Linked DNA regions of Notamacropus eugenii. The protein of the gene in region 3 interacts with the protein of the main gene of each other region in a pairwise test. Links are inferred from orthologs where the notes say so. Each region holds a gene or a part of one and is shown on either strand. Other genes may lie near its edges. The genes, in order: BANP, RBFOX1, C5H1orf94 and VENTX.

Region 1 (7,892 bases), on a different chromosome or scaffold from region 3:
ACACCTTTACTAAATAAAATCTCACTTTGCAGTGGGTTTTATTGAAATGTATCTATTACACATGTCTAGGGATATCTATATTATAGATACTATATATCTATAAATCTTTCATCCTTACTATTCAAATAAACTCTTGAGACAGTAGTTAGTCTACAATACAAAATTTCAAGTTGCTCAATCTTTATTCTATTTGGCAATTATGCAGCACTCTGATGGGAGCATCAAGTGAAACATAGAATATTTCTCATTACTTTGTGTCTCCCTCCTAACCACCACACTGTTCCAAAGTTCTTTTTCTTCAATAAGTTCAAGTTTACCATGGGTTTTCCAGCTACATGCCCATCCTACACCATTCTACTTCACCCCCTTGGGAGCCACTTGTTTGAATTAATCTAGCTTTTCCCAAGACAACTGGTTTGGCAGAGTCAAAGTTCAGCCATGAGTCATAATTGGGCCAAAGCCATTCAGATGACTTCTCACCTAGAAGAAAAAAATTTTCACAGCCATGGAGTGCAAACCTAACCCACCACAATCCCACAAATATTTCTATTATTGTAAACAAATAATCAGAATTTAGGAACTACAACTATCCTTAGAGGCCTAGTCTAAGCCCCACACGTTTTCAGATGAGAAGGGTACTGAAAATTAAAGACTAAGTTACCATTCCAAGTCACTCAAGACAAATTAGACTGCCAGAGTCCCACCTCTGGATTCCTCCAGTCAAAGCTCTTTTCACTGGGCAGTACTTCCCCTCACATCTCACACCTTGGCAGCATAATTATCAAATGAGATGATTTTTATAAAGTGTCCAACATGTGGTAAGCACTTAACAAATGCCCACTCCCTCCACCTACCCACCACCTTCCCCTCTCTTTCAGGAATTTTTTTTTCCCTCCCAGGTGAAAATGTTCCCCTCCTCTTCACAAACTAAAAGTTCTTATGTTAAGAACACATCCATGAGGGACCAGCTGAGACATAATCAAAGTTTGATGTGGCCAGGGGTTCTCAACACTCCTCCACCCCCATAAAGGGTCAGCTCTGGCAAGTGCTACCAGAATGCAAAGGTTCTAAGGATGGACCCAGTTAAGATGCTGTTACACTGCAAGCCAAAACCCAGAGACCTCAACAAGCTGGTAGCATTGATTAATTCCTTAGCAACGACTGAAAACGAACATGGAGAGAAACTGCAATCCACATTTATGGAAGGAGTACCAAACTAAAAAAATTATACTTAAAGTATGAGTATTAAAATACATCTCAAGAATAATCATGTTGTGGGTGTATATTTGTCTGAATTTTGCCCCAGTTTACCAAAAGTGAAAAAAAAAATTTAAACCTGACCAAAGCAAAAATCAAGGCTAAGATTCAAAAGAGCCAAATCAGTATACCCAAAAATAATGAGGTGAGGCAAAAAGTCAGCTATTAAAATCACTGAAGGAACTGTTTTGAGGCTCTCTACAGATCCTTCCATTTCTAAAATTCTATGATTGTCTTTCCAAAATTCAAAGTAGGTTACATCTTGATTTCTTTTCTGAAACAGACTAAACATAAACAATCAGTAACTCAAAGATCCATGTATCTTATTTAGGGAACAAAGTTTCACAAGTTTCTTTATACTTTAGATTTAATATTGTTCCAATTCTAAAAAATTCCACCAACATAACTTCTAGTATACTCTTCATACAACCATAGAATGTAATCCTCCAATGAGACTACTGAGCTAAGACTTTACAATACACCAATCTAAAATGTGAAAACTGAGCATGAAAGGAAAAACCTAGCCATCTGATATTCACACCTTTTAACACACTGTCTAATTACAATCAGTCTTGTTAGGCACCACAGTATTAAAGTGAGTTATCCCTTCTCCAAATATGCTGTAGAATAATAGTTCAGAAACTGGAAAGTGCCTTTACAGCTCTGTTCAAATAACATTAAATATTCCCCAATCTCATCAAAATTATTTAAATTTGAACTGCCTTAGAAACCGAAACTCACAAAAAAAAGTATTATCTGACAGAATACTGACCAACAGTATAAATATAGTAGAGAAGCTCAATAATCACAGAATCAATCGATAGTAATTTGACTTTCAGGTATTTAATTATATAAATCCCGATGCTTTTATAATTTATCCAAATTCCTTTTCTAATACAAACTCTGCAAAGTCAGTGGTGGGGGGAAAAAAAGCAAAGGCAAACAGCTAATTTTCTTTTTTTTTTTTTTAAGCATAAAGGTTTTGTTTGCAAAGCCCAACTGAAGAAACTGAGGGCTTTGAAAATGTACAAAAGTGGGTCACAGACACGTGGACTGTTTACAATACACAGAGCATCAGGTGAGCTGGAAGAGAAACGCAGTTATCTGTATGTTTGGGAAAGAAGGGGGGGAGGTAGGGAGAGGGTCATGAATAATTCACTAAACAATCTTCTCCAGTCATTTCAGGGGGGAGGAGGCGGGGAATATTCCGTTTCCCAAATGACTCCCGATCTCAGGCACGGCCTAGGGTTTCCTAGCTGCACGGCTTCGGGTCACTTCACTTTCCCCTCTCGAGGCCTCAGTTTCCCCGCCTGTAAAGTAGGGGTACTGGACCAGCTCATTTCTAAGGGCCCTTTTTCACTTCACAAGCCATGCTAGGGAAGCCTCCTCCCCTTCGGGCCTCAGTTTCCTCATCTGTAAAAGAGGCGGAGGCTCCCCCAAAAGGGTCTCGATCCCTTGAGCCCAAAGGGGAGGCCGCCTCCCTGCCCGGGTCTCAGTTTCCTCGTCTGTCGAGGAGGGGGCTGGGCGGGACTCCCGGTCCCTGGGGCCGCCGCCGGGCCCGAATCCTGGGCTGACCGCCCAGGAAGCGGCCGCCGCCGCCGCCTCCCCCACCCCCGCCCCGGTATTCGCCATCCCCAGGAAGCGAGCGGCCCGAGCGAGGCCGCCGTTGGCAGCAGGGCCTGGCGGGCCTGGCCGGGCCTACGCTCCCGCTCCCGGCGGCGGCGGCGGCGGCTCCGGTCCGGGGGGGCGCAGCGAGGCCCGGACCCAGACGCACCGGGGCTGAGGCGGACGCCGGGCCGGGCGGTGGGAGCTGGAGCTGGGCCCGGCCAGGCCCGGAGAGGAGAGCAGGGGAGAGGCGGGGGAGGGGGAGATCTCGCTCTCGCTCTCGCCCCGCGGGAAGGGGGGGGAGGTGGAGACGCGACCGGCTGCGGGAGCTGCAATTACCGTGTGGGCTGCGGAATTCTCGTGGTGTTTGTCGGGGAGATGCGATAATGGCGTCCGTCCTCGCGAGAGGAGCTGCTGCAATGCGCAGGCGCCGCGATTCCTTCCCCCGCGGCGATCGTCCTCCCAAACCTGCGCAGACGCGTTACCCCCACCCGCCAGGAGAGGGAATAGGAAACGACGCGCGAGCGCCGGCCTCGTCCCTTATCTTCGTGCGCGCGCTTTCACCTTAACCTGATCCCGCTCCCTTTAGTCACTACTTCAGTCAGAGCGCATGCGCACCTCTTCCCAGGCTCGTCCCGTTTTGATTTTCCAGGACCCACGCAAGCGTGTGCTCTCAGCTTCTTCAGCCGACTGTAGAAAAGGGCGGAGAGTGTCATTTAAATGGACTGATGAAATAATTTGATTTATTGGCTTTTGGCTTTGTTTACTGCTGTCGTTTCCCACTCCCAACCCCCACCCCGAAAGAACCACCAGGGCAATACTACAAATCCCAGGATGCATGGCTCTCGGCATAAGGTGCATCCTGGGACTTGTAGTCCATCTGTGTCATTATGTTAGAGAGCATGCTGGGATTTGTAGTCTGCTCATCCTGGCCCGTTTTCCCACTGCATGGAATGCTGGGACTTGTAGTTAAGTTAATTTAGTTATTAGATGCCTCCAAAGTGATTTTCAGTATTTCCCTCTGTCCTTCCTTTACCCTGTATTTAGACCTTTGGAGGCCTTGTCTGGAAGCAGGCAGGCAGATGATCAGATGACCTGGGTCCCTTGATGGAGATCTCTCTAATTGGTGAATTTGTCTGGAAGGCTGCACCTCTTTGGAATTAATAACCAGTCAGGGATGTCAGCATTTGGGGCCAGAGAAATCAAGGACCAACCTCCTAAATTAACAGAGGAGGAAACTAAGACACAGGGATTTTAGAAGTCATTCCAACATTATATAGATGGGATGACCTCCATTTTTTTTTAAAGGTTTATTACAATCTTGGCCACAAAAACACACATGTACACTCTATACTTTTCAAAGGCATACTTTTTACAAAACCACTTTTTTCCCCTCAAAATTCTTCTCTGTAACCACTTTACTTTTCTGAAAAGGTTTTAAGGTTTTAATTTTATACCTTTTTAAGAGACCCTAGTAAACAGTCCTCTACTGGCTTGTTTTACAGTGTAGGTACCACTAGTTTTGTATATAAATTTGGATGTCATCTCTCTCATTAGATTGTAACCTTCTTGTGGACAGGGTATGTCTTTTGCCTATTTTTGTGTCTCCGACATTTAGCACAGTGCCTGGTACATAGGTGCTTTGTTCTCAAAGAGGACCATGTTATCAAGATGATGATATGACTTCCAGTTGACTTGGATCTGAGTGAGGGAGAGCTGTGCAAGCCCTGGATAAGTGTTAAATGATTGATATTTAACAGATTTCATGCTATTTCATCTGCTCTATGCCAACCAACACACTCTGCCATCTTCTCCAAGTGTTTGAAGAACTGTCAGTGTACAAGTCTTGTATTGCCCTTCAACATAGGTCAATTGGGAGAAATTTCAATATGATCTGATGCTGAGCGAAAGGAGCAGAACCAGGAGAACTTTGTGCACAGCAACGACCACAGTGTGCGAGAGTTTTTTCTGGTAGACTTGGATCTTCATAGCAATGCAAGGACATTAAAAAAAAAAAAATCCCAGTGGTCTTCTAAGGCAAAATACCTTCCACGTTCAGAGAAAGAACTATGGAATTCAATTGCAGAAAGTAGCAGATCATTTGTGTGTGTGTGTGTGTGTGTGTGTGTGTGTGTGTGTGTGTATGTATTATGTTTTGGTTTGTTAGATGATTTCTCCCATTTATTTTAGTTCTTCTACACAGCATGACTATAATGAAAATGTATTTAATACGAATGTATGTGTAGATCCTATATAGAATTGTATGCTGTCTTGGGGAGGGAGGGGGATAATGGGGAGTAAGTAGGGGGAAAAATCTAAGTTTTATGGTAGTGATTGTAGAGCATTAAAAATAAATAAAATTTAAAAAATAAAATGAAAAAAAAGAAATTTCACAGTTGAAATAATGAGCTTGTCTTTACTCTCCAGCCCAAGTGCCCCTTTCTATAAAAGACTTCACTGATTCCCACTAGGTGTTAATGCTCTTTCCAAACTGATGACAGAGATTTTTGTCTTTGCAGTCCTAGCAACAAGCACAAAGCTTTGAGCATAATAAGCATTTCCTAGGTAAATGCTTGGTCAATGGAATTGTAGAGGAGATGGATTTTTTCTTCTAATTTCTGCTGAGTCACAAGATGAGGAATGGGCCGTACATTTTCAGACACTAGCCAATGTGGGCATTTTTCCCACTGGACTAGGCATATTGTTACAAGGGATTCATTATTTTATTCCAGTGGGGGTATGGGGATGAAAGGATGAAGATGGAGATATGGATAGAAAGGAGGAGAGAAAGGAAAAAAAATTTTTTTTAATTTTAATAGTGGAAAGAAAAGAAGGTAAACCAAGCAAGCAGGACAAGCCTTAAAAGCTACAGGTTGATCTTATTATAGACTTTAAAAGAAAAGTCAGCTGTATCCTGTAGTTTCAGGTACAATCTTCTTTTTCTGTTCTAAAAGGTATCTCAAAAATCTTAGTGCAATTTAAATGTCCATTCCATTTGATGTTTACTAAGATTATAATAAAGATAAGAAGTAATTTAACATCTGTTGACAATCTAGATGCCCACCCCTCACCCCCTGATTTATGTCATGGCATTCGATCTTTCTAGTCTTAATGACTCCTAGCATACAGACTTGGCACCTTAATTAACTGCTGACTTATCCCCTACTCCAACCATCCTATGCATCATTACCACTCAAGCCCTGCAAGTCCCTTGAGGAACCAGGGACCCTAAAATTTCATCTTGGAAATTACAATCAAGAGAAACTTTTTCTCAATCAATATATTTACTATGCCTTTGGAGAGAGTGCTAAAGCTTTCCTACGCTCATTAGATTGTAAGATCTATTAGAAGAGGGAATGTCAGGTTTTTTTTCTTTTTTAAAATGTCCAACCACGTAGCACAATGCCTTATGCATTGTAGGCATTTAATGAATATTTACTGGATTTAATTAAGCTATTTCCTGGGTGACTTGGATTTATTAGTTTCTTTCTCTGGTCTTCCTTTTCTCTAACTATAAAAAAGAAATATTTGCTCTAACTATACATTACAAATTGCCTATGAGATATTTCTAGTTGGGTATCCTATAAGCATCTCAAACTCAATATGTCTACAACACAATTCATTATTTTCCCTCCCAAATCCACCCCTTTTCCAAACCTCCTTCTTTCTAGCTAGATTACCACCATCCTTTCAGTTACCCAGAAGGAGATGACAAAAATCTCTCCAGTATTTTTGCCAAGAAAACCCCAAATAGGGTCATGAAGAGTAAGACATGATCAAAATGACTGACAACAAAAGTCCCAACTGACCGTCTCACTAGCCTATTCAAGAAACTTCAATAGCTCCCTCTGACCTCTAGAAACAAATCTAACCTGTGGCATTTAAGGTCCTTACCACGAGATTCTCACTTACCTTTCCAGATCTACTGGAAGGCAGGGACTGTTTGTTCCCCTGCTCTCCTTGTATCCCCAGTATCTAACACAATTCTTCCACACAGTAGGTACCTAATAAATGCTGTTGGTTGATTAGATTATTTCTAAGTTCCTGAATCCTATCATCCTATAAATTTTCAATGCAGTTATATACAATGCCAATTCAACTAAACTCTCCAAAACTGTCAGATTTTTGCTTACTGAAGCCTTTTCAGGGATAATTGGTCATAAGGCTCTGTCTGGTCTCCATGGGAAATTTTCAATTAATGTTAGCACTGATTAATAACTAAATGAATGAATTTTTTAAAATTTGACTAAGTGCTTATTATGTGCTAAGTACTGTACTAACGGCTGAGGATACAAATACAGAAGCTTATATTACAATGGGGGAAAACAGCTTAGCAGAGTGGTGACAAGGGATTACTGTATGTTGAATGGGATCATAGGAGAGAAGATTGGACTGATCCCATCCAGGAACAAGGTTGTTGTGTTTGTCCTTTGTTGCCAAAGAAGACCATGCCATTAGAGAAATGGTGACATGACTGCACTTAACTTTGTTTTGAGTGAGGGAGGGCTGTGCAAGGTCATCAGCTTCACTTCTCCTCCAGAATCATCTGAATCCAAGGTCTATTCAGGTACTCACCTAGGGTGAGGTAATGCCCATTCATTGAATAAGTCTGTTTAAGAGGTAGCCAGGGGTTGGCCCCTTTAATGAGGCAAAGAAAAATGAAGATATCAGACTGGGAGGGAAACAGCAACACTCTGACCCAGGAGGGTCCAGAGGAGAGCCCTTAGACAGGTGCCTAGTGTTGTCCAATGGATGAGCTTCAGAGTGCAGTAGGTTTAAGGTTTTGGGAAAGGAAAGGAGAGAAGAGGAGAGGAGAGAGGAGGGGAGAGGAGAGGAAAAATAAAGGAATCAAGCCAGTAAAACAAATATATCTTCCTTTGGAGAGGAGAAGGAAGGGGAAGGGGAGACAGACAGAAGAGGAGGAGCTGAGTTACCTAGCTAGCTGAGTCCCCATTCAGGCAGCCTGGGTGGGCTTTCCTGAAATTGTAATCCCAGAAAGACAGTCATCAGTCAGGCTGGTTAGAATTCAC
Region 2 (8,523 bases), on a different chromosome or scaffold from region 3:
AAATTGGAGTTTACTTTATCACCTGAGATAAATAGGTGGCAGAGGCTCCTTTGTAATACTATGGCAAATCCCATGAAATGGCAAGTATTTCACATGTTAGAAAAGCATTCTGGTCTTGATGGCAAAGAACCCAGGGCAGAGAGAAGAAAAGGAACCTGATATTAAATTGCTGTGAAAACAGAAGGCATTTGGTGATGGTAATATTCACTGATATAATTTTTTTTCTCCAGTACGCTGCTACAGGTGATTCTAATGCAATTGTCATTCTAATGCAAACATTTTAATATCATGTTTTTGGCTCAGTGTACCAGAAAGAAAGATAGCCAGTCTAAGTCTCTGACCATTCAGGGTGTGGAATGGAAAGAGACAGGTTCTGGACCAGGAATTTACAAATTATCATGCAGTTAGAATAAGAAGGGACTTTTGATTTCATCTACTACAACCCCTTAATTTTACATGTAAGGAAACTGAGACCCAGAAAGGGTAAATGACTTGCCCAAGACCATAAAGGAAAAGTCCAAACTATGATTTTAAACCAGATCTTCTGACTCCAAATGCAATAGTCTTTTTTCTGTGTCACTGTCATAGTGCTCTCAAATTTGGGGGCAGGGATAGCAAATGTGCCTCCACTGAAGTGCTAGCAGGATGCCTGATTGAGTCATGAAGCTACACGCAGGATCTTTCAGGCTATGGTGATAGAGATTTGTCCACTTCTGCCTGGCTGAAAAGGTTCTCAGCAATCACCTAACTGTCTGTCATCAGAAGACTGATGTTAGCAAATTCAGAAAAGCTCATTAATAAAACTTTAGATGCCATGGGATGAGTTGCTCTGGACAAAGCAACCTAGGAAACCAAAATCTAATGCTCAGGTGAGCCATGATCTTCCTAGGTGGAGAGGGCACCATCTATCCTGATGAAATCATGACCTTAATGAAGTATTAAAAAGACATTTTCCAAACCTGAATTCTTAGATGGAAATACACACTAATGTCACAGTTTGCAAATGGTAGCAACAGCCCACTCCTGCTTCCTCACAGCAATTTACCACACTCCACAAATATGCTGGCTGAGATGGTGTACCTAACGAATAAAACCAGATCTCCCAAATTTTTCAAAGAGCTCTTGTGTCTTCTAATCTATCACCTGGGTAATGTGTCCAGAGTGGCATTTTGTAATGACAGCAACATTCCAACAAATCAATAGTTATTTAATTCCCAACAAGCTCCCGAGTCCATTAAACCTGATTACATTCACCCATTTCAGTTGGGTGCAGTTATTTTTCCTACACCGGCACTTAATCTATAACAGGAACTTATGAGAACTTTCAAAAGCAATTTCAGCATCAATCAGCATAGAGTGAAAGGCACGATTTGCTTGTAATTATTTATTGGACAGGATAGCAGAGGGTCTGACAGAGCTCCTGGTCCTGACCTTCACCCAAAATCTAAAATGGAAATAAGAGTAGTTGCCTATAAGCTTCTAGTCCTGCCCTCGTATACCACAGGAGGACCAGTGGCCCGTGCTTGTTTGGACCAAGAAACACAAAGATTTCAGTATTGATAATGGCCAATCTCAGGTAGATCAATTTATTTCTACTTCATACACATGTGGCTAATATCGAGTAAACTCTCCAGTGAAGGCGCCAGCCAGCAATCTAGAATTATTGAGCTGTTCGGCTGTTTGGAATCACCCCAGGTTTGATATTCTAGCCAGCCTTTTGTAATAAACAACGGGTTACAATGAAGGTTGGGGGAAAAAATAATGTGTCTGCCCAACAGTCTGTGCTGAAGACATTTTTTAGTTCAACTCTAATGAGCTGGGCTGGACTTTATTCACTTCACTCACTCCCAAACTACAGGTCTGGGGCATGTGGGTGAGGGGGAGGGAAATCTTTTTTGTTGCTTGTTTGCTATGAATAACAATTAGACATTTTATTCATAATGTCTAACAAAGTATAATAGAGAAGGGTCTGTTTTAGATTAAAGGCAGGTGTAGGAAAAGTACCTGCTGGATAATAACCAGAAAATGTTAGAAAGACAGTACTGGACAATAACCATATGACAAAGTTTACAAAAATGTACCTTACAACTGAGTACCTGGATGTGTAGAATCATTAAACTTGAAAATAAGGAAGGGATATTAGAAATCATTTCACTCAACTCTCTCATTTTACATACGAGTGACTTGCCCAAGATCACACAGCCATATAAGAGGAGAGCCAGAATGAGAACACAGGTGTCAGTGTTCTGACCAGTACACAATAGACCAAAAACAGCAGCTTGCACAATTCTCACAGTGAAGGCCAATCTTTATCTAAACAAAATCTAAGTCCCTTGAAAACCTTTGGAAGAATTATCTGACGTACAATGCTAGCAGACAGTCTATTCTGAGCACTGTGATGGAATTAACTGCTAGTTAATTCCTCAAAAACCAAGCATGTTTCAAGTCACCGATTCCTTGCCATCCTTAAAAACTCAAAGGGCTGATTGTGGGGGTTCCTATAATGATCTCTAAACTTCATAAATTAACCATCAATGTATTATTCCATTTTACAAAAAAAATTCTATTAAAACAGACATTCCATGTGAAGTCGAACATATGAATTAATGCATATTTAATGTTACTCATTTTTGCTGGGCTAAAGCACTTAACTGAACCACATCATGGTAAGTTACTTTGCCTCATGATCTGCACTGGGAATGCTGAGTCCCTCAGAAAGCTGAAACGGAGAGCAAATCCTTTGCCCTGTGGTCAACCTCTTGAAGCAAAGGCATGAATGTTAAGCAGCAGGCAGATCAATACAAGCAAATATAGCTCAACTACACCATTTATTCAGCCATGAAAGATGTCAATACACAGATTAGGGTGATCCATCTTTTTGATTTCCTACTGTCTTCTCACTGACTACATGAGGGCTTTTTCCTGTATTAAAAGTGTTTGCTTTCTCAACCATAAAAATTCCAATTATTACTCTAAGTGCACCAGAGTTAAGTTGCTTGTTGGAAGCGGCCTTGAATTACCTGAACAAGTCCCGTGAAGTACGGTGCCGCGGGCACAATCATGGGCACGCCGTAGGGATGTAGCAAAACTCCTTGAGACGACAACATGGTTTAAGTGATTGTATTTCTTCCACTGAAGCTAAACACATCAATTGAAAGTTAGGCGAAAATCTATAGACCAAGTTCTTCCAAACTACAAAGCTTACAGCCAAATAACTTCTGTCAGGGCCCAACCCCTCGTCAACTCGGAGGGGAAAAAAATCTACATCAGCAACTCTTAATGTTAAAGTTTTCTTCCCAGACAACGGAGAGAGACAGCAGCTGCAAAGCTGGAGATACCAAAATGGAAGGTGCTATTTTGGGAACAGCTTGTCTAACATGACTAACCAAGTACTCTTTGTTAATTTAGCTTTGCAAAAAAAAAAAAAAAAAATGAGAGGAAGAAAGCAACAAGGTTTAAGATACTCCAAAATGAATTCTGCCAAATGGTAGATGGCTGATTCCACGTAGGGTTTTGGGAAGATACACAGAAAATAAAAAGTGAGAAAGAAAATAGAGGTTGATGTTTAAACTTGAATCACCTTGTTAATACATAGAGCCTTGTGCATTTATGAATGCTGATTTTTTTGAGAGACAGAGAAAACATGGAAAGCTGATTGATTGGGATAGGCTTTAGAGGGGTAATTTGACCAGTGTTATCGTATGTTCATTGAAATGAGTTTAGAGGTAAAAAGACTTTCTAATTGTTAAACTTGAACCTCCAATTCTGTCGCATTTCTTGATGAAAGATACTGTCAGATTCTGACATATAAATCAGGGTCAATATAGCATCAAAAATCTGGGTGCAATCTGAAAACCTCAGGTACAAATCTGGACCTTCTAACTTTAACCTATTTGTAAACAGGCAGATGAAGATTGACAGCATTTTCCCCCCAGTTTTCAACCAGATGTTCAGCACAGTGTAGACGCTGCTCTGTATTCACAATTCTGAAAGGCACAGATAGCAGCTGTGCTTTTTGATCCTCTGGTTTTGTCTACCAGGAGGGCAGGTTGCTATATTCAGATTTTTTCACTTTTTAGCAGGCAATTATATGAAGGTCCAATGTGCTGTGTCCACTTAGGTGATATTCAAGGTCAAGAAGAACTTAAAATAAATCTTTCAATAACACCTGCTGAATACATTCCAACTCTAACTATAAAGAGAAAAGATGACTGAAATATGCTGAAACTGGGCAAGTTAAAGAAAAGTACCTTAAATTACATTCCACTGTTGCCTTCTCATGAATCCAGGCACGAATTCCTGTGCTTTGAGAGAGTCAAGGTGTCTTTATTCTATACTAATTTTAGATCCTTGATTTAGCAGCATAATTACTTGTCTAGGTAACTATAGTGGACAATATTTGGCACAGATTTCCATTTAAAACTTGAGTTTTGGCCACACTGAAAGCTTTTCTACAATTGACGCTCATGTATCAAACGAGCTCCGGTTAGCAGCTGTAAGCTGACCCCTCTTACTTAACAGTCCGATATGGTTTCTAACTTTAGATTTGGAGCTGTGACTCCCAACATGGCATTTCTAAGAAGTTACCAGTGAGGACAGAAAAGTCACCATGGGATATAGCCATGTTTACCTATTCCTGGCTTCCATTTATAGACAGCTTCACTCTTGGATAGGGACAGGAGGAGATTATTACTTTCTGTTAGATGGTATTAATCAGTTCATATTATGTCACTTTATCGCTGAGTGGTGAAAACAGTTCCTGGCAAGTCATGAAACCAGGGTTCTAATCCAATATTCAGCACTTAAACATGCAATCCTGAACAAATTATTTCCCTTCCTTTGAGTCTGTTCTTTCAAGTACATAATAAAGGGGGTAATATTACTTACCTAGTAATAGGTTTTTTGTGAGTTAATAAGATCATATATGAGGAAATCTTTTGAAGAACCCTGAAGAGATATATGTTCATGTTATCATAAGGTATTATCTTTACTGATAGGTAACATGGCATTGTAGATAGAGAACTAGCTTAGAAGACCTGGGTTCAAGTCCTGTATGATAACTATAAGCCTGTAATCATGGGTAAGTGACTTTATCTCTCTGGGCCTCAGAAAATTCTCTAAGGCTCAAAGTCATAGAACTGCTGATGCTCTCCATTAGGGAAGGGAGTTTACTCACCACAAAGTCCTGATACTAATCAACTCATTGGTATGGGATGCCACACTCCCTTATTCCCCTTCCAAGAGCATATAAAATTGACAGTCACAAGGAATAAAATGTATAAAGTGCACCGCATTTGAAAGGTTTTCACAAAACTTTGTTTCTAAACTAGAGTTTTACCCTCACTTTCAAAAAATATAAACAGTAATATCTGATATTAAGACGGGATGCACCCAAAATCTCAGTGTGATCTTAAGCTATTAGCTTATGACTGCACTAAGACCTGGGAGACAGCTTCGATAAGTGCTATACCACTTATTTTTTTTGTTAACACATTATCTCGTTTGAGTCTCACAAGAACCCTAAAAGGCACAGGTACCATCTCTATTATTATTATCCCCATTTTACAGATGAAATTGATGTTTAGAGAAGTTAGGTGACTCCTCTCAGTTACCCAACTAGTTAGCACCTGAGGTAGGATTTGAATCTAATTTTTCCTGAGTCCAATTTTGTGCTCCCTCTACTACGTAGTACTACCTGTATTGTGGAAACCAATACCTATTGTAGTAAGTGTATTCTCTCATGTTTCAAGATATTTTCAAACTGTCCAAGTATATGATATAACTTCAAGGTCGGGTAGGTTGCAATTAAGGATAATTACTCAAAAAATCTATTTCTTTTAATGAGATAAGTCTAAGATTAAGGAGAAGGGACCTTTTGAATGGATGCTTACTTAACTCTGGGACTGCAGGGTAACATTCTGAACACAAATTTAGGACAACCTTTACTTTTCCAGAGATACTTCCTATCTCCATAATCTGCCTGTGATGGAGATGGGAGTGGTGGTGGAAGGATCTGATAATCACTAGAGAAACACATTCGCTACCTTTTCCACTAAGAATCTGAAACTATATTTCCAAAGAATGTATTCTGTATCATTATCCACTCTGAGAATAACAAAATATCCATTTTATCCAAAGTTTTGAAGCCAGTCTTCAATCAAATGGCTAATTTACATTCTTTTTGTTTTTTACTTTGCTTTCTATCTGTATTCTCTCCTTTCATGTTACTTCCTTTGTATCATTTGATGTATCCTTATGCAGTTTTTTAGGGATTTCCTTCAAGTAAAATTTTTCTTATAACTTCTTTGATTTTTTTTAGCTTCCTTTCCCTAAAATAATCCTCTTCTCATCTTTTCTCTCTCTCAATCCATGATCAAACTCCCTTCTCAGTTGTCGACTCTTTGATTCCCTTCTGTCACGTCTTCTTAGTTTAATCAAATCTTCCCCCTGCCCCTCTTTTCTCCACCCCCTTTTCTGTGGCTCAGAATACCCCCCCCAAAGAAAAACATGCAGAATTTGGGATTGTAAATGATGACACTATCCACCCCCATTCCTTCTGGGTGACAGACGCCCAAAGACTAAATGTCAGCTTGGAAGAGAAGAGAGCAGAACACAAAAACTAAAGAACAGGGTAAGGGTGAGGGGTAAGGCACTCTGATTATAGCTGTGAATATTTAGCAAAATTATGTGTGTGCACACATACACACATATATACACACATGTATGTATATATACACACATACATATGTATATGTGCGTGTACTCCAAGAATTACATTTGGGTGCATTTAGTTTACAATTCTCATTGACTAGCACTTGTGAAAGGGTATCACCACAGAAAATCCAAAATAAAGTATAATTTTTCAAAGCCTCACAAAAAACTGTATCTTACAGCATCCCATTAACCAAAACTTTCTCTTAAACAGAATGTTCCCACTTGTACAGAAGGATGGTAACTGATATCTGTAATGATGACCTGAAGGTAATGAAAATTCCTAACGTTCCTCCTGACCAATCAAAAAATAATTTATGCAGAGGATTGTTTAATAAATATGGCATTAAATATTTCATTTTATTGAAACCCAGAGAAAACTGATAATCTTTGTTTACCAGACTATGTGAACTAGAATATTCCTTTTCCAGTCTGGGCTGAAATATATAGAATCAATATAGTCAATTATTTGCAGCTTTCCAATATATTATGCTATGGGTAATATACAGGGAAGTTAATTGTACCAGAATAATTAAGAACTGACTATAATCACAATAGAGAGTTATCTGAGCATCTTCCAGTCATATTATTTGATTAAAGACAGCCCACATGACAATGGAGAAACAACCCTCCCACTTCATACCTAGATTATCAGAAAAGCTATTCCTTCAATTCTATTATATCTTTTACTTCCTAACTAACTTAAGAATCACTTCCATTAATTTGGTATTCCCAGGTGCAAAACCTTCAATGGTTCCCTATTCCCCTGACAGACTCCAAATACTTCCATCCTGCTTAGACCTCCATCATCTAATCTCAGTATATATTTGACCAGTCCCCAAATTGTGTCTTCCATTCTGGTCAAGCTAGTCACCTCACTGTCGCATATTATAGATTCTTTCCTATAGGTCAGATTGCTCCTTCTCAGCCCTCTTTGCTGAATCTTCATGAAGATCATGCCCACTAATCTTGAGTGTCCCAAAGGACTCTGTCTCTGGTGGTCTTCCCTTCTTTATTCAATTTCACTTGAAGGTCTCATCAGTTTCCACAGTTTCAATTATCATTTCTATACTGATCATTCTCAGATCTATTTAGCCATCCCAAACCTCTTTTCTGAGTTTCAACTGCTTAGTAGATATCTCAGACTAGACATCCCAAAGATATCTTAAATTCAACATGTCCAAAATGGAAATTGTTATCTTTTCCCCAAACCCTTTCTGACCTTCCCCCTTTTACTGCCAAAGGCACCACCATCCACTCAGTCATACAAACACAACTTAGGTCTTTCTCACTTTCCGCATATAATCTGATACCAACACTTCCTATCAATTTTGCCTTTATCACATCTCTCACGTATGCTCCCCTCTCTTTTTCTTTTCTGTCATTTTATAGCTGGACTGCTGGTTGATCTCCCTGGCTTAAGCCTATGACCACTCCAATCCATTCTCCACTCAGTTGTCAAATTAATCTCCCTGAGGCACAGATGTGACCATATCTAACTCCTCCCCATTCAGTCAACTCCTGTCACCTCCAGGATCAAATCTAAAATCCTCTGTCATCCAAAGCCCTTTACAATCTAGCCTTACTTTTACTCTCCATTATATATTCAAGGATCCAGTGAGACTGGCCCCCTTGTGATTTCTCTCCTAAGGTTGTCCTTCTCCAGCCTCCAGGAATTTTCACTGACTGTTCCCCATGTCTGGAATTCTCTCCCTCCTTATCTTTGCCTTTTTGTTTCCTTCAAATGGAAAGTAAAATCTTACCTTTTTATAGGAAGCTTAAATGTCAGTCACTTCTCTTGATTTTTTCCAA
Region 3 (7,938 bases):
ACACGTAAATCATACAACTTACTCTCAGACCACAGATCATGCACACAGTCAGGTTAGCTTAAGAATAAATGAAAGCATGAATGAATGAAGCTTGTTCACATGTCAGAGATCTCCAGATTGGGGCTCATACCCAATGACCAAACAGTTCATAGATTTGGATTAATGCACACAGCAAAACCTGCTCCTATACCTGGAGAATGAATGAATGAATGAATAGATGAATGAGACTCATGCTCACAGACTAGATTGTTTCCCAGAGTGAGTTTCATGTATTCAGCTTTATCTGCTCCTAGATCTGGAACTAGATAACGTTTGCTAAATGAATGAATGAAGCTTGTGAACATAAATCAGAAAATTTCCAGGCTTGATCTTTATGACTATACAGGCCAGGCATTCCCCATACATCTGGCTCAAGTACATAGGCTATGCAGCTCCCAGAATGGGGTTCGTGTAGAACCTAAATACCATATTAGCTCTTAAACTTCAGACAAGATTATGATGTTTTGTCAGATGAATGAATAGACAGGAATATGGATGAATGAATGCATGAATAGATAAATTAATGAATGTGATATACTCCAACCAGACAGTTTCCTGACTGGGCTTCATGCACATGGGCTAGACATCCAGATCCAAGGTTCATGGATAAGCCAGACAGTTCCAGAACAAAGGTCATACACACAAGTCAGAAAGTTTCCATAACTGGGATTCATAAACACAAACCATTCACCTCCTGCACAGAAGCCAGATAACTCCAGCAACTGGAAGATTTGTCATAGTTTCAAATAAACTTCAAAAGATGGGGCTTCTCCTTCACCAGCAGATTCCTAGATATACTATGGTGATATACTTGGTTTATTCTTGAACAGTTAGAATGAGATTGTAAAAGACACATCTGAGCAATTAAAAGTATAATAATTTGCATTTTATACAATTTTTTACTTAAAATTTCCAACGTACTTTTATACCTCTCATCCCTTATCATCCTCACCACAGCCCTGAAGACAAATAAGACCAAGTTCATCACTCAGATTAAAGAAGGGGAAATAGAGGTAGAAAAGGGTTTACCAATTTGCCCCTGCTCACACAGGTAATCAGTGGCGCACTCCAAACTAAAGTGAAGATTTTCTGACACCCATACATTTGCACCCCAGTCCAATTTCAAGGTCCACATACAACACTGAAGATTGGAGAGAAGAGCTTGAAAGAAACAGGTTATTTGGGGAAACCAAGTCCCACATTAAAAGCTACCCATGGCTAATCCCAAGTGGATAAGTGCCACCTAGATGTTGCCTGTAGGTCTGTTTCTGCCAGTGGCAAGTGCCTAATCTGAAGTAGGAAGACTTCATCCCTTAGTCATCCAGAGGAAGTATATTTCAGTGGAAAGATCCCTGGAGTGAGAGGGCTAGAGTCTGAATCTAGGCTATACCACATGCCTGTGGGGCCTTAGTCGTATCATTTGCCCTTTCTGCTTCCATCTCTGTAAAATGAAGGAACTGGATGCTCTGCCTGGGACCAGCTCAGTATTCAGGCAGACTGGCCGGGAGCTCTGCATTAAGTACTGTTCAGCTGCACCGAGCTAGCGATATTTGTTTCTCTAATGCAGCTGAGGCAGACTGAGAACAGACTAAAGTGCCTTTAACTTCCTCCTCTCTGACAAGGACTGCAGAACAGGAGAGGTGGGAAAGGAGGCCGCTGAGTTGTTTGCATCTTCAGCCCACTGATGTGCTTAGGGCTTTCAGTTCTCTGGGATCCACAAGTAAGCTTTGCAAGAGCCTACGAGCAGTTGCTAACAGCTGGTCATTGCCTGGGTGCTTCTTGGATTAGCAAGCAAAGACTCCACCAACTCCCCAATGCCATTCTCCACTGTACAGAACCATACACTGGGGCCTGCAACACTTAATTATCACTTAGCCTCTAATTAGCACTTAATTATTAACACTTAATCCATCTGTAAAATGGGGACAGCATTATCTGCCTGGCGGGGATGTTTCGAGGAGTAATTAATTCAGGTTTGCAACACCCTTTGAAGACAGAAAACTTATGGAAAGACTAAATAGGGGCATGAATCATAGCCTTTCATTTTCTCTCTTGCCTCTCCCTCCCTATCCTCCAGCTCTTGTTTCACTGCTTCCTCTTGCCCTCCGCCTCTGCCCCAGTATAGACTCTTGGCACTCCCAGTCACAGGGTTTCCCAGCAGGAAATAGGCATATTTACAGCCATCTTCTAGAATGTGTTAATTTTCTATTATGGTCTTTGACGATGTCAGGGCTTTCCCAGTAAATATTTTGATGTGTGCTTTTGGAGAGGTTTCTGTAGCGGCTGAATGGGACAGCTGCTTCCCAAGCTGGGGGATTCCAGATGTGGCTCCACACCAAGAAGATCAGTTTATGTGGTGGGAAGGAAAGTGAACATCTCTGAAAAGCATCTCCCAAGAAATCCTCATCTCTAAACCATCTCTGAGGAGAACCTTGGGAATCCTGGAGGAAGGTAGACCTCTGGGACTGGCAGATCATACTAGCTCTGATTAATGCAACTTTCTTGCCTCTCGTATCCAAGGCTTTGGGAAGAGAAGTGTTATTAGCAGGCAAGGAAGAAAAGTTGTCCCTTTATCCCAGAATAATCCCCAAAAGGTGCCCCAACCCATCATTGGCCACAACTCTTCCCGAAGCTTTATTTCTTGCAGGCCCTAAGACTTGTGGACCTGCTGTGCTGATCTGTTGGCACTGGAAAGCCTAGAGGGAAATGTGAGGCATGAGGAAGGGAGGACATTAGGTCAGCCACCATAGAGTGGCTACAGATATGGAGCCAAGGGAAATATTCTCCATAAGCAACTGCCTCCCAAGGAATCAGACCTCTGATGCTCAGAGTCCCCCAGCCCAAGTTTCTGTCATGGCAGGGGAAAAACACTCACTCATCCTGGAAAGTGCTGTCGTGGTCTCGGAGGGCACTAGGTGGGGCAGAAGTGGGCTGTGCTGGTACCATTGATCCTGTCCTAGGCTGGAAGGCTTCTGGGAGGCCCTGAGCCCTCTTCCATATCTCATGGCAGGTCTTGTCCAGGCTGTCTTGAGGCGTGTCCTGGTGAATCCAGATATGCCTGGGGAACGGACCCAGGGGTGATGGGCGCTTGCTGGCCACCGTGGGAGAAGGGAGTCCATTCCCACTGGCCATCATCCTCCTCTCTTTGCAGAAGGGCCTTTGCCTGCCCCGGGCTCCAAGACAGACCATCCACAACCCCTCATTCACCAGAAATCGAGTCGGGGATACTGGAGTTAAGGGGTCAGATTTTTCTCTCTCCTCCAAGGACAATTGTTTCACAAGTCTATGTGTGTTTGCGTGTGTGTGTCTGTGTCTGTGTGTGTGTGTGTGTGTGTGTGTGTTCTGGGGGAGGGGTTGTTTTGATTTTTTTTTATTTGCTCTTTCCTTTTCTTTTGCCCCCTCCCCCCTCCCCCAGAAGAAAATATTTTAAAATAAAAGACAACAAACCTAGTAGCTTAGTAACCGTGGAATCCCTGGAGCACAGGATCCTGGCAACTGGGCCGGCAGAATAACAACTGGAGACAAGCTGAGAGGGGGAGTCAGGGGCCGGTAGGACAAGGAAATAGGGCAGCCGAAGCCCGGATAATCCGCCCTGCACTCCTCCATTCCCCCACGTTAGTTCAGTAATGGAACACCACCCCTCTCCCCTTTCTCCGTTCCTCTCCTGGCCAGAGGCGTTCACAACTGGGCAGTCCAGGCACGAGATCCCTTCAGGAAGGGGGTGGGGGTGGGAGAGAGGGCTCAGACCCTCCCCCATCCTCATCTGCCAACTCTCGAGCCTACTGCCCTGCCGAATCACCTACCGCCCCAGTGCACATCCTCCTACTGTCCCCGCAACCCCATCCTGGAGACGAGGCCGGGGACCTGGGGATAAGGAGGGCACTAGAAAAAGTCCACAGCTCAGGTTTCAGAGCTCCAGGGAATCTGCAAGTCAATCCTTTTCATTTTACAGATGAGGCAAACGAGGCCCAGGGAGAAGTGTCTAAGCAAGAGCACACAGGTAGGTAACAGAGTAGTAATTCGCACCCATGTCTTCTGACTCCCAAGCTAGTGTGCTTTCAATAGCAGTACAGAGACCCCCGTCTTCAGAGTGGAGACAAATGGAGAGCCCTCCGCTGCCTTTCCGCCAAACCTCCTTTACTGAAACACTTCTTCTTGACTGTCAGGAATGAAAACCCGGCAGTTCTTAACTGTCCCCCCCAGCCCCCGCAGCGCAGATACGCTGGGGTTTCAGGGAGCAGGAAAGAGAGCAGCGGCGCCCTGCGCTCCACTCCGCGCACGCGGGTCTGCGGTCACACTCTCGGCCCTTCAGCGCCCGCATTCCCCCAACCTGTGGTCAGCAGTGAGATTCTGGCACGAGTTTTTCAAACCCCCCACCTCCTGCGATCTGGGGCCTCTACCTGCCCGGGCAGGGAGAGGAGTCTGGTCTGGACCCGTCTACATCCCGCTCCTGCCTCAGCCCTCCTGGGGGAACTGAGTCGCCCCTGGAGGCAGCTGCTGTGGGGACGATGCAGCTGAAGAGGCAAGGAGCGGGCAGAGGTCCTATGGGGACCTCAGACCCTCGCCCATCCTCATCTGCCTTTCCTGACCCTCTCGAGCCAACTGCCCTGCCGTATCACCTACCGCCCCAGTGCACATCCTCCTACTGTCCCCGCAACCCCATCCTGGAGACGAGGCCGGAGACCTGGGGATAAGGAGGGCACTAGAAAAAGTCCTCGGACTTTTAGGGAGAGTTTGGGGCAACAGGCCGGATGACGGCCTCCCTTGCCTGGCCAGCCACGATATGACCCTCCTCAGCCCCAACTGCAAAGGTTCTACCCCACTCTTCCAATTTCAGAAACACTGGCTCTGCTGACGAAATGAGGGATAGCCTCGGGGGCTTTACCTCTTTCTTTGCTTCTGCCACTTCAACCTACAATTCTCCCCCATCCCCTTTTTTCCCCAGTGCTGGTGTCCAAAGCATGTTTCAGAGGTGGATGTATCCCCTCCTTCAAACCCCATCCGCAAATCAGGGTTCCTACGACCACTGGTCTTCTCACCAGAACCACTTGGCGATAGACAAAGCTGAGGGGCCCTAGCAGTCAGTCCCTTTGGGCCAACCTTCTATTCTACTAGATTATTCCTGCTAAAGATGCAGGAGAGAAGCCCCGACAACCCTCAAAGGTCCTCTTTGGCTTGGCAACGCATTATGTGATGCAGGCCATCAGATTTATTGGCTTAATTCTGTTTGGCTCATTTTTATTTTAAAATGAGTTTGCATTCCCCCAGCAGGCCCTGACAGTAGCACAGTCATGCAGGGTGAAGAGTGAGCCAGCCTGCTTTTCAAAGCTGCCCTATTACTGTCCAGTGCCCCAGCAACCTCCCAGTCACCCGGACTCTCATCATCAGCGTCATCTTCCACTCCTCAGTCTACTTCATTCCATTTATCTCAATCAGCTGCTAAATCTTGTCATTTTACCTTCACAAAACCTCTTTCCACACACACAACCACTCCCCTAGCACAGGCAGGCCCTCACTGACTCTTCCCTGGACTATTGCCATAGCCTTCTAATTGGTCTCTCTGCCTCAGGTCTCTCTACTCTGTCTACCTCACAGATGCCAGATTGAATTTCCTAAAGCACAGGTTCAACCACATCACTCTTTTCCTCAAGAAATTCCAATGACTCCCTATACCCCTTAAGATCAAATGTCAGCTCTTGTTTGCCATTTACAGTCCTTCATAAATTCTCTTCCCATCTTTCCAGACTTTGCTCCCTTTCATTCACTTGGTAGTTCAGTCATATTGGCCATTTACTGCTCCTCATACACGACATTCTATTTCTGCTCCATGCTGGCCTCTGTGGGTGATGTGCTCTCCTTCCTTTTGGAATTCTTGGTTTTATTCAGGGCTCAGGTCACGGTGATTCCTTCTACATGAAACTTTTCCAGATCCTTCCCCCCCCCCCCACCCCAGTTATGTTGCATTTACTCTGTGTGTATAGATGTAGATAGATGGATGGATGGACAGATAGAGATAGAGATATATGAACATACTGTCATTTCTACTGAGATTATAAGCTTCTCAAGGACAAGAATCCTCATCAATTTTGTCTTTGTATCATCATATGGTGACTGAATGAATAACAAAAGCTTGAAACGATTGAGAATAGAGAGTTATGAGCAAACGCTTCAGGACTAGAGAGTGCAGGGGGAAAGGAAAGAGCTGAAGTGAGCCTTTGCTTCTCTATGAACTGTTGACTCATCTTGCTCTCTTCATCCCCTCACTGAGCGTTGCTCTCCCCAAGTTAGTGAGGAAGCCAGGACCTCTTCCCGCCTCCCTTCACTCTTGCAGGATCTAAATCAATCTCCTCCCATCTCCTGGGTTCTCCCAATAATGGTCCTAACACTGTTGCCAGAGTCATTAAAAATTGAAGGAGGGGAAACAACAAAAGTTAGTTGCAAACAAAATGTGTCTGTGCTCATTAGATGCAGTATTTGTGTTGGCCTGGTTGTTTCTCAGGAGAAACTAGGAGCTCGGCATTGATGTTCTCTTTTCTGTGCTCTGGAGTCACTGAAACCCTAGCGTATCTTTGCTGAGCGCCCTGGGAGGTTCAGGAGAGCTCTGATGGGAGGAGGGGAATGGCGCAAAAGAGATGGTAAACTAAAAGTTCTTCCAGTTGCAGAATAGGTGGATTTCTGACAAAATTGTCTGGAAAACAGACCTTTGTGTTATCAAATCCTATTCTCACAGATTTTCATGATAAAGTCAGAGTTAGGGTGTTGTTTGCTTTTTTTATTGTTTGTTCTAGATTTGTGATTTTATAGGTATGGGGAATTATTGGTATTGAAAATCCCTCTGTGATTCAGATCAGCAGCACAAAAAACTGAAGGAGTAAGCCTGAGAGAGATATGGGAAGCCACATATGCCAGAAAAATCAGGCCAGCACCACCATCTTACCCACCACCGCCCCTCAGATCTTGATGGGGATAGCCTAGGTCCCTGAGCCCAAGAACTTTGGGAATAGCAGAACACCCAGACCTGCCTCCAGCCCCATCTCCACAAGCACCATGGAAGGGAGAAGTCATTGTGAGGAGAGGATCTACCTTCCTCATCATGGCCAGCAACAGCTACTAACCAATGGCCACCTACAAGCAGGTAGACACAGGGGCCCTGGGAGTGGCAGTTCCTTCCAGATCTTCCAGCCCAGCCTTCCCAACCATCATCCGAAGAAGCAGCTCTTATGTAGATGGGGCCAGTCATCCTTAACACTCAGGATGGACAAGCTAGCTTAGCTGAAGCAGCAAGGCACCTTGAGAGAGAGATGGGAGGCAGAGGGTGCCAATCTAGTCAGACCACCACCACCTAGACTACCATGTCTCCTTAGAACTGGATGGAGACAGCCTAGGACCCTACATCCAAGAGCCCTGGACATGACAAAGCTTTTACTCCAGTTCCCTCGGCCGTCATCCTGGGAAGCAACCCCTGTGGAGTTGCAGCTTTGCAGTTGCCCCTTCTGGTGCTGCACCCATTGCTACTTAAGACCCGGAAAATAAAGTTCTTCCCAGAAAGGTCTTAGAATATGAAATAGTTCAACATCAGATACTGATATTTAGCCAGTGGAAATACGTGTGTGTGTGTGTGTGTGTGTGTGTGTGTGTGTTCATCCTTCTTTGCCAAAGAAGACTATGTCATTGGAGAAATGATGACATGACTTGCACTTGACTTTGTTTTGAGTGAGGGAGGGCTGTGCAGGTCACCAACCTTGCTTCTCCTCCAGAGCCATCTGAATCCAATGACCAGCTATTCATCAGGATGACTGGAGATGACTCAGGATGAGACAACTGGGGTAAAGTGACTTTCCCAAGGTCACACAGCTAGTGAGTGACAAGTGTCTGAGGTGATATTTGAACTCAGGTCCT
Region 4 (7,642 bases), on a different chromosome or scaffold from region 3:
AGGCGCCAGCACCCCAGGGAGGAGGCCTGGTGACTTTGGACAGGACAGTCTGAGGGAGATATGGCCAGCCAGACCTTGCTGCTGAGTGGGACTCCTTGGGTTGGGGGCCACACCTGAATGCTGCAAGGCACCTGATCTGACTTACTTGTACCCCATCACCTTCCCCTGGATTCCTCTTCCTTGTATGGGGGAGGGGTACATACAGACTTACTGAAAGCGACTTGCGCCTTCCCCCTCCTCAAACTTCCCTCCCCCCTGCCTTTGGCCCCTCCAAGGACGGCCAGCTTGGCCTGTCCGTTGTGGACTTCTCTGTACATGTGTGGTCTCCAGAACTCTAGGAGAGCCAATATTATGGTAATAATTATAGCAATTAGTCTTTACAAGTTACCTACTATGTGCAAACAGAATGAGGTGGCTTGCCTGGGGTCACACAGCTAGTAATTGCCTGAGGTGGAATTTGAACTCTGCAACTCCAGAGTCAAGGCTCAGTTTTCTAGCTGAGGCATTTAGGGTTAGGCCCACCTCGCCGCCCAAATGCTTTACAAATGTCATTTCGCTTTATCCTCATCACAGCCCTTCAAGATAGAGACGCTGTTATTCTCCCCATTTTTTAGCTGAGGAAACTTAAGCAGACAGAGGTTAAGTGATTTGAGCAGCATCGCAGTCACAAAGCTAGCACGTGTCAGGGGTCACATTGACTCCATCTCATTGGACCACCTATAGAAGAGGAGCAGGCGGTCAGGTAGGTCAGGACAGGACAGACAGACAGAGATGAGGTGAAGGGCTGGGAGTCAGACCTGGCTTCAAAGCCCACAGGCTCACCTCCCTGAGCTTCCTCTATACCTTGAAAAGACTCGCACTCTGAAGTGGGGAAGGGGGCACAGGGGTCCCTACCCTGACAAATATCACAGCAGTGCTGGCCACAGGTGGTGCTTCGTAGGAATCATTTCCCACTTTCTCTACTGAGTTCAGGAGTGTTACATCCAGTAGAGGGAGCCACACTACCTTCCACTCATACAAGAAGAGAAAGAACCACCTCCCCCTTCTCCCCTCCTCACCTTTCTAGGATAGGTGACTGTGTCCCATAGTCCTAGCTCCACCGCAGCCTCTGGGAGAGATAGGCTAGGCCCCCCCACTACTAAAACAATTAGGCTTCGAAATCCCATTAGTCTGGGAAGTAAACAATGGTCTCATTCCTTTCCAGCCCAGATTCCAAGGCTGATCCTCTGGCCGTCACCCCTAGGACCAGGAATCCTGGGAAGTGGCTCCACTGGAAATCCACAATCAGTGAATGGGTTGCTTTGGCCTTGGTCTCCGGCCCCTCTGCCTATCTTGCCCAGGTGCCCACCAGAGAAGGTAAAGCTGCTTCTAAATTCCTCCTCCTCCCCTCCATGGAGTCAACACAAGGAAGGCCTTAAGGTGTCCTTTCAAACACACTGGAGCTGTCCAATAAATAAATGTGCTTATAAGCCTTTCCTAAGTGCCTGTGATGGGCCACTCAGCCCCGGATAAGCCTTTTTCAGATCACTCCTTGGTTCTGCTTGGTGTCACTGCTGGGTGCCCCAGAGCATTTCACTGACCACAGGCACAGTATTCTGTTTGTGGATGGGATGGGGAGAAGAAGATTGGTATGCTGGCTGTGTGACCCTTCATCCCCTCCCAAGCACAGCCTCCATTTTCTACAAGTTGGTAAGAAAATGGTTAAAGCTGTGAAAATGCACATGATTATCAGGCTGGGTCTTCCCAGGCCCTTCCAAAAGGGCAGGCTAACAATTCAATCACTTTATCTCTAATGAGATAATGTATGCAAAGTGCTTTGCAAAATTGCAACCAGAGGCTGTGATTATTCTGACAAGCCTGGGGCCCCAGCTGGGGGGAGGGGAGAGATCCATCCACAATTAGGTATTAAATGGGGTTGATTTCTGCCTCACCTTCTGCTAGGTTAAAACACGACACTCTGAGAATGGTCTTAAGACCCCCAGGACACCCAGGAGAGCTTGGCCAAGTAAGAGTGAACTGCCTTCCTCACCTTTGGGCTAACCCTCACCAGCTAGATGTGGACCTGAGACTCCAGGTCCCTTTTAACTGCCCCCATACTCTCTGCTGGCAGTGACAGGGACATCCAACAGTCTTGTATCTTCTGAGGATGTCAGAAGCCTGTTCTTTGACTACACCAGGAACTGTCTCCAGAAATAAGGGCGATCTCTCCCCCAGGATGTAATTAGTCAAATTCTAAACACACACACACACCTAATTTAGTGCTTAAGAACCCAGGCTGACACAAAATCCCAGAATTTTAGACCTGGAAGGACTCCCAGCTATTCTCTCATTCAACCCTTCCATTGGACAGTTGTCACAATCACAGTCAAAAAAGAACTTTAGCCCTTGGGGTAGTGATCCCAAAGCAGCACTGTACTTTGGTCCTTTCTCCTTAGCTTTTACTTTCCAAGATCACAGGAGTACAGATCTGGAGTTAGAAGGGATCCTTGAGGTCTTCCAGTTCGATCTTCCCACTCTACAGATGAAGAAATTGAGGCACCCACTTCAAAGTTAAACAACATGATCACATGAACTGCATTAAGAGACAGAACCAGGGTCTGAATCCCTGTCATCTGACTCTTTCCACTAAGTCTCAGTATTTTTTACTTACTCCCATATTCACTCTTTTTTGTCATTGTCTTTGTTTTGTTTCATTTCCTTCTAGTCTGCTGTATTCCTCCCCAGGTCTAGCTTGTCAACATTCTTCTTGAGAAGCTCCTTACTCTGGTTGACCAGGATCACAGGCTTCCATCAGGACCTGAAGAACCACCCTCCCCCAACCTCTACCATCTAACCCTTGTGCCTACCCATTGTCCAGGTGGTGAAGCTGAGGTCCAGCCCAAGAGGGGGGTGAAAGGACATGCTGAGAACTCACACAGAACAAGGGATAGGATGGAGCAGAATTCAAATGTATACATAGATACATACAAATCAATAAACAGTAAGCACCTACTATGTGCTATACCCTGTGCTAAGTGTTGGAGATACAAAGAAAGGTAAAAGATGGTCCCTGACTTCAAGGAGCTCATGGTCCAATGCAGGAAGCTACAAGCAAACATGCACAGATAACCTCGGTGCCAAATAAATAGGAAATAACATGGGGAAAGACTTCCTGGAGAGGGAGGGATTTTTACTTGGGACTTCAAGGAAACCAGGGAAAGCCCTGAGGCAAAGGTGAATTGGAAGACCAACCAGGGTTTTGGGACTGCCTGGAAAATGCCCAGAGCTAAGAGGACAGGGTCAGTTCAGGCTGTACCACTGCATCATAATGTCTCTCTCTCTTTCTCTTTCTCTCTCTCTCTCTCTCTCTCTCTCTCTCTCTCTCTTTCTCTCTCTCTCTCCTTCTCTCTCTCTCTCTCAAGGAGGTGATGTGGAAGATAACTAGAAAAGCAGGAGGGGCAACTTATGAAAGGTTTAAGTGACAAAGAAAAGATTTTATATTTGATCGTGGAGGTAAGGGTGAGCCGTGATTAGTCAGAGCTGTGATTTACAAAGGTCACTTTCACAGATCACAAGAGAAGAATGGACTGGAGTAAGCAGAGACCAGCAGACAGACCAAAACTAGTGCAGTCATCCAGGTGTTCGGTGATGAGGACTTGCACCAGGGTGGAGGTGCTGTCAGAGAGAAAGGGGCATATGTGAGAGATGTGACAAAAGTAAAACCAATAGGCCTGGTAATCGATTGGATATGGGGGGTGAGAGAGAATGAGGAGCTGAAAATGACACCTAGGATATGAGGATGGGGATGCCCTGCTGAGTGACAGGGAAGTTTGGAATCTGGAAGGGGCGAGTTTGAGGAGGAAGGTAATCAGTTCAGTTTGAGATTTCTACCGGACATACATCATAAGAAGCAGTTGGAGACAGACTGAAGGTCAGCAGAAAGGTTAGGACTGGATAAATCGGTCTGAGAATCACCAGCATAAAGATGAGACCTGAATACTTGGATGCTAATGAGATCACTAAGGAAATAGTAGAGAGATAGAAGAGTTAGCTTCTTAAGTGTGCATGCCCATGAGAGCACTGGAGAAGGAAATGTTAAAATCCCCCCCAGGATCTTCACCAAGTAAACCCCATGGATAGTATGGTCCATGGGGTCACAACGAGTTAGACAGGAAGGAACAACGATGTGTAAATGCATATATTTGTAGATGTGCATCCCTAGGGGAAAGGATGAATATTAACTCTAGAGGAGTACGCAGAAGTGTCCTTTCCATTGGTTTTATTATATGGGTTGGACTCTAAGGCCCCTCTGGAAGCCCCCAACCTAACCCACAAACCAGGTCAGTGACTGGGTTATACCTGCATTTATAGGCATGTTCTCTGCCCAAATTGTAGCATGTATTTCCTTGGGAGAATGGCTGGACTAAAGAAGTGGGACTTTCCGGGGAAGGATCTGCAGCTAGTCTTTCCTTGCAGTATTAACAGAGTACCTAGAACAAAGTAGGCCCTTAACAAAGGTTTTTTTAAACTATTTATTGACTGAACTAGACAGAAGCCTCCAGTCCAACGGACTTTAAGGGAGGGAGACCTGGAGGAGCCATTTTCTCGGCATCCTCTTTGGGCCAAGATAAGTGGGGGAGAACTAAGGAGTCCTCTGGGGGAGGAGGGAGGGTTCGGGGGGGGGCGGGGGGGGAAAGGAGGATGTAACTACTGGGACGTAACCACCCGGAGAAGGAACTCAGACATCTAGGAGCCAGCAGAAGTGCGAAGGGCCCCCGGGGTGGGGCTGAATGTAGGACAATTAGGTGGTACTTATCGGAGCCTTTGAGGTTTGTTTATGCAAGCCAGATTGGGGGGTGGGCCCTCAGCCGGCCCCGCAGCTTATATAAGTTTCACCCTGGCGCTCCCAGGAGAGTTAAAGTCCATCCTTTTTGGTGCCCACCAGTCTCATAATGACGAAGGCCCCATTTTCTGTGGAATGGCTCTCTCAGAGCAGCCAGAAGCCCTCACGCCTCGGCCAAGATGACTCAGAGGCTTCCACTGCAGGGAAAGGCCGAGGCGACCAGGTCCTTGGGGGGGATCTTATTTTATCGGGCCTTCCTGATACCTCGGGGTCAGAAGGCCCTTCTACGAGTTCGTGGGTCCCGACGCTACCCGCCGCCGCCGCCGCCGCCGCCGTTGTCAGAGAGTCTTCCTTAGTCAGTAAGTGCTTTCTCCAGGTGTGGTGGTCAATAGAGGAGACCCCGAACTAGAATGGGGTGTGGAGGAAAACCATAACACACGGAAAAGGGCTGTGTTTGGAGGGGAAGAAGAGAGAAGGCGGGCCAAGGGCCAGGGTGACTGGAAGGGACAAGGGAGACAGCACTGGACTGGACTGGACTGGACCAGGCCAGCCCAACAGGGGGACTTGCTGCTTCCGAGAAAGTCCGATTCCTGTTGGATAGCCTTTCCACCAGAAGCCAGGAGCGCGGAGGTCAGGTTCAAGTTGTCTTTAGGGGGCGAGGCATTTGGGGAACTCCTTGCCACTCAGGGCCACGTGTTTTGACCAGTAAGGAAGCACTTAGCCTACCAGCCTGCCCTAATTGACCCATCCCTACGAGAGCTAGTTGTCATTTGAAGATATTCCTGACCTCCCTACCAGAGCCGAAGCTCAGGCCCTCGGTGAGGGTGTGCCGACATGTCTAGGTGGGAAGGCCTAGACTTTCTAAGCGCCGCCTCACCTCTCTCCCAAGAATCCAGGTCTCTGGGCGAGGAGGCTTCCCCTGAGGTCAACAGTGGCAGCTGCGGGCTGTCGGAGGGCCCAGGCCCTGAACCCCATTCCCGGGGCGCTCGCCGCCTGCGCACGGCTTTTACGACCAAGCAGATCAGCACTCTGGAGAGCTCCTTCAAACGCCACCACTACCTGGGCGCTGCGGAGAGGCGCAAACTGGCCGGCAAGATGCAGCTGTCAGAAGTTCAGGTACCCAGACGGGCAGGGGGGGGGCTCCCCACTCCATTCCACCCCACCCCTCGAGCCCCGGTTCTGCCGCCAGCCTGCGGCGATGCTCAACTTGACTTTGACTTGTTGGGCTCCCGCAGATAAAAACCTGGTTCCAGAATCGCCGCATGAAGCTGAAGCGCCAGCTGCAGGATTTGAGGCCCCCCGACCCTCCTCCAGGCTTCCCCCTCCATCTCTACAGCCCCCTGCTTCTGCGCTCTACACCAGTCCCGCCACCAGGCCTGCCATACGTGTACCCCAATTCGCCACAGCTCCGAGTCCCCAGCCTCATCCAGGAGCCCTTTACTGGTGGCCTGGCCCTCCCATCTCTACTCCCTCTGCCTTTACCCCCCAGTTCCTGCAAAGTGGCCCCTCCTGCCATCCCGTCTGTGCTGGCCTGTTTACTGAGCGGTTGCCCAGACCAGGCCTCCTTCCTGAGGGCCTTGTGACGTTGGAGGCCTGCCCCTCTTTCGGGGTGACATTGATACTGAGGAAGGAGAGATGAGACTGGACAGGATAGGACATCTCTAGGAGCCAAAGTCTGACAGGACCTGGTGAAAGAGTCCTCTTTGTTCCACTGGAGGTCCTCAAATATGAACTTATGTATATATTTGCAAAATTTTGTCAAACTATTATGTACAGAAAGAACTATTTATGGAAATATTAAAGAATAGTTGATGTTTTTAACGTCTTATGTGTGCATATGTAATTTGTGAAAGAAACCAGTCCACTTCTGATCAAGATTTCATTCCAAAAGAAAAACAAGTTTGAAATCATTACAAAAGTGGGAGGTTTAGCAGCTGAGATGGGGAGGGAGAAAGACCAGGGAGGGTCATCCTTTCCTGTAGGAGAGTGTGGCATTTTAGAAAATAGGGCCAAGACAGAAGATGGAAAGTGGAGGGAGGTTTGGTTTTTCCAATGTGTGAAAAACATCATGGATAATAAGAAGGGAAGACCCTTAAAAAGTACCCAACAGAAGAGCATCTAAACCTGGAGGTAATAGGGGGAGCCAATTCAATTGGGGTAATGAGAAGGGAAGACCCTTGAAAAGTGCCTAAGCCAATTCAATTCATTGGCAAGAGGTTAGATCCTCATCAATTAATTAGGCTGAGAATTCACTAGGAGCCAAAGCTGGGGGTGTGGGGGGATCTGCTCCTGCACATTTTGGGGAGGTTAGGGTTGAGCAGAGAAAAAGGGAAGAAGGATACAGATTGGGGGAGGAATTCCATAAGTCAACAAATACCCTCCACTCAATTTGAGACCCCTCTAACCATAACCATAGTGTAAAGCAAGGGTTTTACTCCTATAATGCTGGCTCCTACCTACCTTAGGGGTAAGAATATCTAGATTCTACCTTTTAAAAACTGGAGGAAGCCCCCAACCCCATCTGGGAGCAAGTGGACTGCTTGCAACCTAAATCACTGAGTTTGCTAAACTCCTGTTTTGTTGAAGGCCAGAAGCTAAAGCAGTATGTGCACACTAGTCAGATTTCAGAGTTGAAGGGTTCATCTTTCCACAGACCCTAGGGCTGTGGGCACTGAGCTGTGCGCTCTCCAGTTTGCCCTGGTCCTTCCTGCCTAAAGTGCTCGTAAGTGAACCAGTGATCACTCTAGTTAAGTTAGCTTGCATTCAGGGTAAAGGAGAGGGAGCAGTAAGGGCAGAGCAGTGCTCTGACCCAGGACACTT

Evidence for each region.
Region 1: the proteins of C5H1orf94 (region 3) and BANP interact in binary tests that used the Homo sapiens proteins (3 or more experiments, as listed by UniProt). The two-hybrid records come from large-scale screens. The link is inferred for Notamacropus eugenii from reciprocal best matches to the Homo sapiens genes C1orf94 and BANP.
Region 2: the proteins of C5H1orf94 (region 3) and RBFOX1 interact in binary tests that used the Homo sapiens proteins (3 or more experiments, as listed by UniProt). The link is inferred for Notamacropus eugenii from reciprocal best matches to the Homo sapiens genes C1orf94 and RBFOX1.
Region 4: the proteins of C5H1orf94 (region 3) and VENTX interact in binary tests that used the Homo sapiens proteins (3 or more experiments, as listed by UniProt). The two-hybrid records come from large-scale screens. The link is inferred for Notamacropus eugenii from reciprocal best matches to the Homo sapiens genes C1orf94 and VENTX.

The regions. Positions count from the first base shown.
Region 1 is NC_092872.1:703,794,727-703,802,618, reverse strand, and holds the start of BANP (protein BANP), read right to left. Parts: upstream 3,429-7,892; 5' UTR 3,202-3,428; intron 1-3,201. UniProt on the Homo sapiens protein: Controls V(D)J recombination during T-cell development by repressing T-cell receptor (TCR) beta enhancer function. Binds to scaffold/matrix attachment region beta (S/MARbeta), an ATC-rich DNA sequence located upstream of the TCR beta enhancer.
Region 2 is NC_092872.1:85,126,812-85,135,334, reverse strand, and holds the start of RBFOX1 (RNA binding protein fox-1 homolog 1), read right to left. Parts: upstream 3,196-8,523; 5' UTR 3,108-3,195; coding exon 3,021-3,107; intron 1-3,020. UniProt on the Homo sapiens protein: RNA-binding protein that regulates alternative splicing events by binding to 5'-UGCAUGU-3' elements. Regulates alternative splicing of tissue-specific exons and of differentially spliced exons during erythropoiesis.
Region 3 is NC_092876.1:85,488,273-85,496,210, forward strand, and holds the start of C5H1orf94 (uncharacterized protein C1orf94 homolog), read right to left. Parts: upstream 3,452-7,938; 5' UTR 3,229-3,451; coding exon 2,915-3,228; intron 1-2,914.
Region 4 is NC_092872.1:291,926,455-291,934,096, forward strand, and holds VENTX (homeobox protein VENTX), read left to right. Parts: upstream 1-4,888; 5' UTR 4,889-4,931; coding exon 4,932-5,181; intron 5,182-5,711; coding exon 5,712-5,938; intron 5,939-6,057; coding exon 6,058-6,405; 3' UTR 6,406-6,643; downstream 6,644-7,642. UniProt on the Homo sapiens protein: May be involved in ventralization.